Linked DNA regions of Drosophila melanogaster. Changing the gene in region 2 together with the main gene of any one other region gives a genetic interaction. Each region holds a gene or a part of one and is shown on either strand. Other genes may lie near its edges. The genes, in order: sky and Rab35.

The links.
Region 1: of Rab35 (region 2) and sky, changing one suppresses a phenotype caused by changing the other (phenotypic suppression), as found in Drosophila melanogaster (one study listed by BioGRID).

What each region holds. Positions count from the first base shown.
Region 1 is NT_033779.5:20,915,725-20,920,947, forward strand, and holds the start of sky (skywalker), read right to left. Parts: upstream 3,208-5,223; 5' UTR 3,075-3,207; exon of another isoform or gene 2,915-3,074; intron 1,738-2,914; exon of another isoform or gene 1,419-1,737; 5' UTR 1,181-1,418; intron 1-1,180. Other genes in the region: Mtp (microsomal triacylglycerol transfer protein), read right to left, coding at 3,515-3,668, 3,727-3,894, 3,962-4,502, 4,562-5,223. UniProt on the Drosophila melanogaster protein: GTPase-activating protein (GAP) for Rab35 which regulates synaptic vesicle (SV) protein recycling and turnover at the neuromuscular junction boutons and possibly ventral nerve cord via endosomal trafficking.
Region 2 is NC_004354.4:20,155,214-20,161,778, forward strand, and holds Rab35 (Rab35), read right to left. Parts: upstream 4,660-6,565; 5' UTR 3,735-4,659; coding exon 3,683-3,734; intron 3,316-3,682; exon of another isoform or gene 3,145-3,315; coding exon of another isoform or gene 3,126-3,144; intron 3,057-3,125; coding exon 2,757-3,056; intron 2,624-2,756; coding exon 2,370-2,623; 3' UTR 553-2,369; downstream 1-552. Other genes in the region: aspr (asperous), read left to right, coding at 1-95; Phf7 (PHD finger protein 7), read right to left, coding at 5,705-6,565.

The DNA.
Region 1 (5,223 bases), on a different chromosome or scaffold from region 2:
GCCGGATCTGTATCTATATATTGCACGACTGCTTTTTTTTTATTTTGCGAGGCACTTTTAAAAAGTCGTTTTGTATCGGACATCTCAAGTGAGCGAACGGTTCGATGGGACCAGCTGACAGACAGTTTACCCAAATACAATTTGTTCATTGCCAGTCAAATGGATTTAGATAGATAGTTAGTTATGCGCAAGTACCTGGCTCATGTTTTGCCGATTTAGTGTTCCTTTATGCGGCTCTCTGGCCCGCAGATAAGATAACCAAGCAGAGAAATTTAATTTTTGGCAAATGTTTGCTGATTGCATTGCCTTTTCGTTGAAACTCAGCCAGCAGGACTGTATTTATAGTTATAGATTAAACAAATTATATGACCCAATGAGGAATATTTATCGCTTAAACAAATGTTTGAAGTACAAACAGAGTTATAATTAATAACTCCAAAGGTCGTCTATTTTGCAATCGGAGATTGCCAAACCCAAAAAATATTTATCTATTGATGAGTCATGATTAGGAAGATATAAGACATAAAATGTTTATTTGGGGGAAATACGGAAGGGGTTTTTTGAAGTTACACATTTGTAGCTGTTGAACTTGTGCATAAGTCCACATAAATTCCAAACTAAAGTATAAAATCACTACATATACCATAAATTTATATTAAACTTATAATAAACTTATATTTAGGCTATAAACATAAAATATGGGACAAAAAAAAAGCCAACGACCAACATAATCCACCGTAAATTTAAGAACAAAACGGAACTCGCTTTTTACAACATTTTTAATGCCTAACTAAACAGCATTAAAAAGTTGAACTTCTTTCTCGCTATCAACATGGAATAACGTGGTTTGCTGCCGTCATAAATTGTGCAAGGTTGAACGAAAAATAACGTCTATCTAATCAGTTATGTAGGTATAAAGAGCACATGAAAGTTAAAAAACGGCATTTTAAGACTTATACAATTTTGTTGGATCTCAGCAAAAACAAATTTGAATAAAATGTATGATCACAATGAATCACAAAGAACAATCATATCATGATTGAACCCTTTAGTCCACGTGAATTGCAATTTATTATCAAAATAACAAATGAATCATAGAAATGGTGATAGTGCAACTAAATTCGAAATTCTCTTGGGTAGAGAGCGATAAAAAAAGGGATGGGAGAGTGACTGCTATTACCTGTCAATATCTGATGTTTTTGTTCTTGTTTTCCTTGCCCTTCTTCGTTGGTTATTTTTACTTTTTTTCTGTGTTCTTGTTCCGTTCTCTTTTTTCTGATTTGCTGCACTTGTTCTTTTTCTTATCCTCCTTCGTTGTTTTTATGCACTCGTTTTTTGTTTTGCTTGCTTCGTCCGTTTTATCGTGTTGTCACGTTTTCACTTTCACAGGTAAATTCTAAAGGAGCAAGATATATATTCTCTTTCCCATTTTATTACTCTGCCCAAGGGGGCGTGGCCGGGGAGGCGAAGGGCACTATTTGGCCTTTACACACACACTCACGCACGCACACAGAGGAGAGTGAAAAAGCGAGATGGATAAATAAACTACCTTAAAAGATGGATTTTCTAGTTTCCGAAATTCGCGTATTTCGTATATTTAAAGTGGTTTAACTATTTTCGCCCTACATCCATTTTTTTTTATATATATTTTTTATATTCTTTTTTTTATGTTTGTTTCAGCGGGAACCGAAAACACAAGCAGCGCGGTCGAAAAATTATCGGGCAATACGAAAGAGCGCCTTTTGCGGGTTGCTTAAATAGACTTTCGTTTGCTGCTTCGGTTGCGAACCTCTCGTCGTTGCTCGCTCTCCAACGTTTGACGAACAGTGGGATTAATGTGCAGTGGTATGCATGAAATACTGTTTTTTTTTTTTAGTTATTATTGTTTATTGTTTAGGAACAATTTACAAAATCTCATTATTAAAAAACTAAAGAATAATAAAATCATGATTTTATCAAGCTAATTCCAACTTTACTAAAACATAACATAACAACAATTTAGTGTATTTATATCAGTGAATTCGGATTTTTCACACAAAAAATCCTGTTTTAAGCACTGAAATAATGGCAGAAAGGATTAAGAACTTTCCCACTGTGCGGTTGGATGTCGGACGAGTGAGACTTAAAGAAGTTTGAGAGAGCATCACCCAAACCATACAAGTAAAAAACTAATGTTAGCAAATGAATTTATACATATTTTTGCAAATAAACCAACTTTTGAAATACACAAAATTATTATGAATGGAAATTTCTTTAAAGCCAAACAAAATTTTCACAATGCCGATAAGCAGGGTGCGTGATACCGTTATAAAAAGTGGGAGAATAGGGAGAGAGCAGCAAGTGCGCAAGTGTGTGTGGTAAAAAGGTACCCCTATCACAATGCAGTTCACAAAAATAGTCACCATCTGTGCCCCTGGTTTTGGATATTCTAGATCTTTCTTCAATATACATATTTCAGATTTCAGATCTCGTTTTTTATTTATTTATGATTCTTAATGCTTTCGTACGGAGTAGTAATTTGCGTTAAAATGTTGTGCCAATAAGATGCCAAGGCAAACGCCTCTTACAGATTGTTTTCTTAAAAAGTGATAACAATTCAGCAGAATAAATTACAAAAATTGCAGAACATTTCACACGTGGTTTTTTTGGTATTGCAACTTCACGCAACAGAAATTCCCGAACACGCACACATGAGCACAAACAGAACACGTCAACAACAACAATTCTTCTTCTTTCCCATCTCTTTCTCGCTCCAATTGTGTTTGTATGAGTTTAAAAGGCAAGGGAATTGTTAATTTTAGTACATTGCTTAGCACTTGATTTAAACGCGCAAATTGGTGACACAAATATCGATTTATTAAGTTTGAACTATTTAATTTGTCGCGCCTTTCAGCTTGCAAATAGAAGTATTTACTTTAGACAATCGGATGACGCTTTTGATTTCGCATTTGTTTGCGACTGTGTGTGTGCGACGAGCCTTCTAATTCCGACAAAAAGAAGAAGAGCACCATTCGGTGGCCTAATTTGTTTCACTTCTCCGGAATCAAGCTTTTCCGATGCCTGCTTCTATTAACCTTTATTTAATATGACTCGTGCGTTCGACGATATTTTTGCAGTAGTTATTTTCTTTTCGTGCTTGTGGAGTGCACCTCTTTTATGCCGCGTTTGAAGAAGAAGCACAACGTAGTAGTGTTTGAATGTACTGCGGAATTTAGGGATGGGAATGCGTAGCTCTTGCAATCGATAGCTCGATAAGTCCCCTTTCGCGTTTCGCAGCACTTGGGCGGGATTTTTAAATCTAAGGTGTGACTATTGTGAATCGAGAAAAAATGCACATTTCCACTTTTCCAGTAATTTTCGAGTTGCTCAAAAGATATTAAAAACTTGTTGCATTTGAAAATTAAATGGTCTTTGTTCGTTTAAGTTTACAACTATATCGAGTCTTAATCTCTGAGTTTTCACATAGAAATATAGTTTTTATGCAAGGAATCTCCAATAATCTCTTGAGTAGAATCTACAAGTCCCTAAAAATGAGGTTGCACATTTCGTTGTTTTTTTGGTTGAGGGCAAAAGTGCAGCCGGCAGTTTTGTGGGAGAGTGTAGAGCGCACATGTTTGGCATAAGGACGATCAACAGACTGCAGGAAAACCGAACGAACGTTGGTTTGTCTGTGAAGGAGGCTTTCAATTAGCATGTGAGTCATTAAAATAGTTCTAGCAAACTTACTTGAGAAGCTGTTCAGGTCGCTGGAGTTGCATGCACAATTTAATGCCGCTGTAGAAGTCCAAGTCCGCATTCAGACTCAACTTTGGTTCGTGGGTGATGCTGAAATCCTGCACTAATTTCGCATACGTAAAGCCAACGGCCAAATGACCAAGAACAGCGCTGCCAGTGCTATAAGCCAAAAGTTAATCGTGAGTTAAATAACATTCCAATCAAATGCTTTGGCTTTTTCACTTACTTCTGCTGGATTTCCGTCTGGGCATTTCGATTCCACAGGCTGAATCCCACCTTGCCATTGAGATCCACACTCCTGGCGCCCAGAACTCGCCAGTGGAGCGTCGCCCCGGAGGTCAGGATTATGTAGTGCTCGTTATCCTGGGACAAAGTGGTTGCCTGGTAAGCGGGCGTTGAGTCCGAGGCACTTCCTCCCCACACGTGACCCATTAGCTCGGTCTGACCGCTGAAGAATACTAGGGGTCGCAATTGAGCACCCTGCACACTGATCTCCATGCCCGCGGTGACCGCTTCGTCTTCGCTGAACTCATCATCCGCCGGGATTGCATCATTTCCATCGCCGGAGTCACCATCGCCTACCAGCGAGCCCAAGCCGGCAGTGTAGATGCCCAATTTAAAGCTGCTGGCTTGGGAACGGCCTGCGTGGAGCAGAAATTCCACGGAGCCACGTTTCAGGATTCCCTGATACACTTCCTGGGTACTTAGCAGGGTTTCGTTGAAGGCTGGAGCCTGGGAAAGCTGACGGGTGAGGACTGTCGTAAGACCTGTAAGTATTAAAGTTCATAATTGTTTGAACAGTGTCATTAGGAAATTAGGTACTCACCCTTTTGTCCCAGCACATTGTAGTTGTTTACATGCCTCCGCTTGACAAGCTCCGATTTGAACAAAGCCCTAAATCGCGGGCACTTCTCAGCCAGCATTCTTAGCTTCTGCAGCACGTATGTTTTGATCTCAAACTGGCGATCATTGGAGGCTAGGTAATCCAAGAAGTTGCCCAATTGCTCCTGAGTTGGCCGGAGGGACAGGATAATATCAAGAGCCAGAGTGCGAGCGGAGCTATCAAAGCGACGCTTTCGCTGGTAGAATATGCTCTCGAACTGCAAGCGATGTGAAGAGTTAAAGCTACCTAGGGGAAAGGCTTTCAGAGCCTGTAAGGCAGCCACCGATAAATTGGGAGCCTCGCCAGTTTGAGCGTGCTCCAGCAGAGCTTCAATGGTAGCAGGATCCTGGAGATTTTGCAGAGCCCTTATGTACAAGGTAGGCTCCTTGGAGGTGAGACCTTGCAGTAGATAAGAACGCACTTCCTTCAACAAAGGATCTTCAACATCTAGTCCGCTTTGGCGGGTCAAGGTGGCCACGGTTTGGATAACGCTTTCCCTCAGCTTTAAATGCTTTTTGATAGATTCCTGTTCTAGCAATCCAAACAAGTGCTCAACTATTTTCCTGTCTGGATGGGTGGCGACCGCCAGGGACTGCAGGTATTTC
Region 2 (6,565 bases):
ACCTGGCTGTCTGCCGCTGTCCACAGGGACAGTCGGGCGACGCCCTGGTGTCCTGTCGCCAGACGCGCACCTTTCCCGTGGCCAAGTACCACTGAGGCGGGATGGGGAGTCGTATAGTCCCGGAGCCGCACTGCCTGCCAAACCAGTCACCATCCGCCCAGCCAATCCCCATCCCAATCCGCACCAATCCGCATCTGCCCACTTCCCGTACTAGTCGTTGCCCTAACCTCGTGCTCTCCCCAACAGAAGCGATAAAAAATGCGTTGAAAAACAATAAATAATACAAGTAAATAATAATCATAAACAATGTGCTATTTTTCTGGGATCCGTAAAGTCACAAACAACTGAATACATCATAAAAAAGTTAAACAAATTGTTTTCAAATACTGCAGAAGGGAAAAAATTCCATTTTAAAGATATAAAGATTATATTACTGATTGTCTTAGTACCGAAATCCAACCCAAAATCTTAACGGCTAAATGCAAAAGACCAAACATTTTAGAAAATCAAATTGCCTTCTTTATTTTGATCGATAAATATATACATCTATATATATAGATATATATATACATTTATATAAATATATAGTTTTCTTTTGGTTGGTATGAAATATAGGTTTCATATTCGAGAATAGTATTTAACTATGAGTTTGCCTCACTTTCTGAAAGCTTTTTTCAGCCCAAACCACAACTAGGTAATTCATTTTGGTATTCAAACGCAATAACATAGTCTTTGAATTTTGGGTATAGCTCAAGGTTTACATATAAATAAATATATACTGGAACCGAAATCGATTATTGTGGTATTTAAAATAAATCTATGAATCGAATGGTTTTTTAAGCAGAATAAATATGGTTACCACAAAGCGAACCCATATGTACATTGTGAACATATAAATATAAATTCTAGTGCGCTTCGTTACTACGTTATTCACTCGTTTCATAGAGTCGCCGAAGAGTATGCAACTACTTTTAGAAGCTAACAAAAATTGTAAAATCGGGAAAGTTTACCAAAAATAACGAACGTGCTTGCAGTGCGATTTGGTGCGTTTTTAACTTAGATACAATACAAATGTAGCGATGTATTAAATGCATTTGTGGCATAAAAGAATGCCACAAAATGTTGATTGCCAATCATATCTTATTTAATTTTAAATCAGCAATGCCTAAGGACTTAAATGAAAAGTGGCTACATTTTGGACATATTCAACATAGCTATGGATTAAAAACATGGTTTTGAATTACAGTCCGAGCGCAAGTAATCGTGTTTTTCCAAAGATCAATCTTTATTCTTTCTGAGGGTACATATGTAATGTATGTATATAATATCAGAGAATTGGAGTATTGGTTCCCCGGTTTTCGAATAGATACAAACATTACCTACAACTATTTCTCTTCAGAAAATTTGCATTGGAAATCATATTGGCTGACAGTTTCAGGTTTTTCATTTTAAGCAAGCACATCCAAAAGAATTGGAAACAGTCCCTGAAGTTCTTTAGTTTATCCAGTTAAATCAATCACGGAATGGCGGCAATAATATCAAATGAAATCTTAACAAGTAAGGCAGTTTCCGAGAGCAACGAAATGTTTAAAAGCATCACTCCAAGCAAATAAAATTTCAGATTCATTCAAAACGTGTCTTTCGCGATTGATAGTCGGCAGATCAGAGCTTTCGTTTTTAAATTTTAAACTATGGGAGTATTAAAAGTGGAGAGTCGCGATCGGAAGCCAATAATTTGATCTCCCCACATATGTATATCTATGTATATATATTTATATATTTCTATAAATGTGTTTCGTAGCTTAGCTAGCGAGCGAGGCGTTTGCGTCCTCGTGCCTTTTCCTGCGGTCGCTCTTGTTATTGTAAATACAATTTTCCGTTTGAAATATAAATATATTCTTGTATATAAATATGCAATTTGTTTCAATTTTGTTTATGTATGTATATATTAATATGTATATAAATTGCTAAATACATTTAATTGCGCTTTACACTTTTACACTTTAATTTACGGCTATCTGGCATTATTCCGAATAAAACTGAGGAGGAAAAAAAAAAACAAAACAAAAAAAATTGTTGTCTCTAGTGGGTGTGAGTGTTGTTCAGTTGTCTCGTGTTGTTTGCTTTGTGTGGTTTCTTGTTGTTGGTTGTTTGGTGGTGTTAGCTATGTCTATGTGAGTGAGTGTCTGTGTCGAATCGTAAGCCAAGAACCCTACAAACTACGCGCCCCCACAACGATTCCGTCCGCCCCCGAAGTTGATCCAGGTCCTGGTCCTAATTTCAGTTCCAATTCCCGTCCCGCCGCCGCCGCCGCCGCCGCCGTCGCCGTCGGTCCAGTTGCAATGCCAGCTCCCGTGCCGGAGCCGCTTTCACCTGCAGCACTTCCCACCCTTGCTGCCCTTGGGATTGGGCTTCAGATGGAGCGTGTCCTTCTGCTGCTCGTTGGGGGAGGTGCGCAGCTTGTGATCGAGCACCTGTCGCGTAATCGACAAGAACATGTTCTCCACGTTTATGTTGTCTTTGGCAGATGTCTCGAATAGCTCGATGTCCATTTGTTTCGCAAACCGCTGCGCGTCTTCGGTAATGACCACCTTCCTGTCCGGATCGTCGTTCTTGTTGCCCACTGTTGAGGAATCGAAACATGAGTCTATATCGATAATGTAAGTTGTCTACTAATTAAGCTCCGCTTGGCATAGCCAACAACTACTTCTCAGTACGGGTCAACCAATTCTGTGCGTAATACGATATAGGCTCACCTAATACTTTTTTAACCACATCGCAGTTATTCTGGATCTCCTCCAGCCAGCGGCGGACGTTCGCAAAGGATTCGCCGTTCGTGACGTCGTAGACGACAATGACGCCGTGGGTGCCGCGGTAGTAGGTGCTGGTGATTGTCCGGAAGCGCTCCTGCCCGGCCGTGTCCCAGATCTGCAGCTTTACGCGCATGCCCTCGATGTCCACGGTGCGGATCTTAAAGTCCACGCCGATGGTGGTGATGTAACTGCCTGAGAATGTGTCGTCCGAGAACCGGATGAGCAGCGACGACTTGCCCACGCCTGCAGGGGATCAGATGGAAAGATGGAATGGGATTCGTATTACAAAAATGTGATATCGTTACTACACACAAGTAAGCCCATTCGGCATATGACATTGCTGTGGAGCGGGGAGTGTTCTCCTGCTCCGGTTACCGCCGCAGCTGGTCTGCTCGCATATCAAGCTGTATATCCTGCCAGTGCGTCACCATTAGTCATGAGCCTGGTTTTGCCCGAGCCAGACCACCTTTCTCGAAATACGCCCAAATGAATATGTAGATAGCTACGTTAGGAGGAGGACAGGACTGATATAAAGTGCTTTTGCATTTATGATTAAATATATAAAATTAGTACAACCTAACACATGTTGAGTATGCCAAAAACATTGAGTATAGAAACAAGAAGCTGACGAATGTTGAAAGTATTATGGAAACTGAAAACAACATTACTCATACGCCATGTTGGCGTTAGCATTTTAAATGTAACATACATTAATGGTAATCAGATGCAGTAATGCGAAAGGGAGGTGGAGACAACTGCGTTTTTGGCCAGGAAACGGGGACAAATTGCAATTTACACCTGCTATTTTCAACTCGATGCTATTTTTAAGCACCTGGTCTGTGGGAAACGGGAATGCCTGGGAAACTCACCGCTATCGCCGATTATTAGCAACTTGAATAGATGATCGAAGCCGCGTGCCATTTTTCGACGTTTTTTCGCTGTTTTTCTGTGTTTTTCCTTGTTTTTGCAAGTGCTTTTATATTTACAGTTAGGCGCGTCGAACAATGCAAAATATACTTTTGTTTTCTTTTTTTCTGCTGCCTGCTCCCACACTCACACACACAGGAGCACACTCCCTGCGCTTACTCTCTCTCTCTCTCTCTTTCGCACTCTCTCGGAAGCGCCCTCTCTTTCGCCCCAAGCTACGACCCTCTCGCTCGCACTGGTGCAGCCGGCTGAATATCTGAGATAAGCTGTTGTTCTTTCTGGCTGCTGGTCTGTTGTTGTTGTTGTTTTTGCTGCTGTTGCTGATGTTTTTGTTGCTGTGTGATAAGCTATAGTTATTAGTGTTGTTGCGTTGCGAGTTAATTTATGTAAGTGTTGTTGCCGCCGCCTTGTTATTTAATTTCCTTTGATTAGGTAGGTGTGTTTCTCTTTTTTTGGCTCCACTGGTACAATTGTTGCTTTTGCTTTAACAGCGGATTTGCGAAGAGAAATCGAGCGGCAGGCTCATTTCCATCAGATCCAATGGCTTGCTGGCGGATAAGACGGCGATTTGGTGCCGAAAATATTTCAATATAGGCTGGCAAATTTTCGCAAAGCTCGACTCCCTCGCAATCGTGCGTCTCGCTCTCTCCAACACTGTAGCACAGACACAACACACGAACACATACGCACGCACGCACACACACACAGGAGTGAAGCTCTGGCTGACTGTTGAATTTATATTGGGCTTCTCGGCGGTCTCGAACTTTCCAGCTTCCGGGTTGCTCTTGCAGCGCTGAAAGGACGACGATTTGTGGGAATTTGTGGGCGTCGGCGTTGCGGATTAATTCTGGTTAATTCATATTCTGGATAAACTATTGCTAACGCACCCACACTAGAGACGGAACCAAATGCGATGTTTATGCTATCGATAGTTTAGGATAGATAGTACCCCACAAACATCGATTCATTTAGCCGGAGCATAAAGTCGAATTTTTCTGTAACTAAATATGCAATGTGCCCACTCAAAAAATTAAATTAGTTTAATAAATTAATACTGGCAATTTTTTTTAATATCAATATGTATCGATATATTTAGAGAACATTATCGCAAGTGTTGCCGTTTAGCGGGTTGCTAACGTTGCCACCTGTGCATAAACTTTTGGCCATATCCAGCACTTATTTATTATGAATGGCGCGATTTTTAAAAAATCTTCAAATAATCACTTATAAAGCCCATATTATATTAATACCAAAAAAAAAACTAAATATTATATACTTTCATACCGATTTGTAGCGGGTATTAACTAGAAGCAAAACGCTATACTCTTAATGAAAGTGAGTATTCGTAGTTTACAACTTTTGAGAAGTTTTTTCAACATCCAAATAAAATCATTCTAACTTATTTTTCAAATATTTTAATTTTATTTATTTCATTTTAGCGTTCAGATACTGGGATTCTTGATACAGATACTGGATTCAGGGATTCTTAGATCGCTAGTCAAAAAAATGTAATGCTTAGAGTAATTGAAATAATGTAGGCACTGCGAGCTGCTGAAAAGAAAGTCAGATGGGGAAAATAATGTCTACAGCTACTTAAAGTAAATATGTATACAAGTTATTTATACGTGTGGAAAGGAGCACTTACTTAGCTTACTTAACAAAGCAAATAAATGGTAAATGCATCTTATTAGCGAATACCGCTAGGAGAACAGGATTTTAATGGAATTTTATATGTACAAAAGGCGGAAAATAGAGAATAACGGGTGCGAACCAAACGCACGCATTTGGTCCACAACCTAGTCGATGTGATGGTTAATGGAATGTGCAAGTGTTATGTATCGTGATGTTGTCATCTGTTCTCCTAGTCCCTGCGGGTATCCTGCCCACTCAGGATATATCCATATTGATCTTGCCGTGTACATGGATTTGTGCGAGTGTGATCTATTGTAATGTCATCTGTTCTCCTAATCCTTGCGGCTGGCCATGTGGTTGGACAAGCGGTGGCGGGTCCTATTGGCCACACAGGATATATCCATGTTGGCGAGTGAGGAAGGCCTGTTGGCCAAAGTGCGGCGACGTAAGACACGTGGAGCAGGAGTGCTCGGCTCCGGCGAGATGGAGCCCAACAGACGCCTGCCATTCGACGGCGCAGCGGCAGTGGGCGTAAGTTGGCGCCTCTTCGACTCATATTCATCACTATCATATTCATCACTATCGTCATCGCTATCCGACACGTGTCTAGGCGGCGAGACGTATCTAGGGCGCCAGGGACGACGTCCATTCGATGTGGACGGCTCAGTGTTTTCTTGGTTATCAAGTGTCGATGCGGATGTGGATGTGGATGTGGATGTGGATGATGTCGCAGTTGCAGTAGCAGAGCGAAACGAGGTTACTACACTTGAGAGAAATGTTGTTTGCGTTCCCTGTGATTCAAATGTGCGAGTTCCACGATCGGCTAAAGCGCGTGCCCCCGCAGAAGTAGATGGTTGATCATCGGAGAGGGTCACCACGCGACTCTGCACTTTGGTATCGAACGCACGCTGAAAGACGGCATCATCGTCGGAGGAGCCGAAATCATCCCAATGGGAGGGTGATAGCTTCTCTTGAATCTGATCACCATTTAGGTGACCTGGACGTGGGGCTTCGGCCGAGTCGTCCATTGAGCCGGCGTCATCCGAGTCCGATTCGGCAACGGGCACTGCCTCCGGGCTGACGGCTGAGCAAACCTTGCAGACGTAGTTTTGGAGAGTCTTCAACGTGCAAAGGTAATGTGACGGATTGGCGCCACATGAGGTGCAGTACAGCAGCATGGCGGAAGTGTCGGC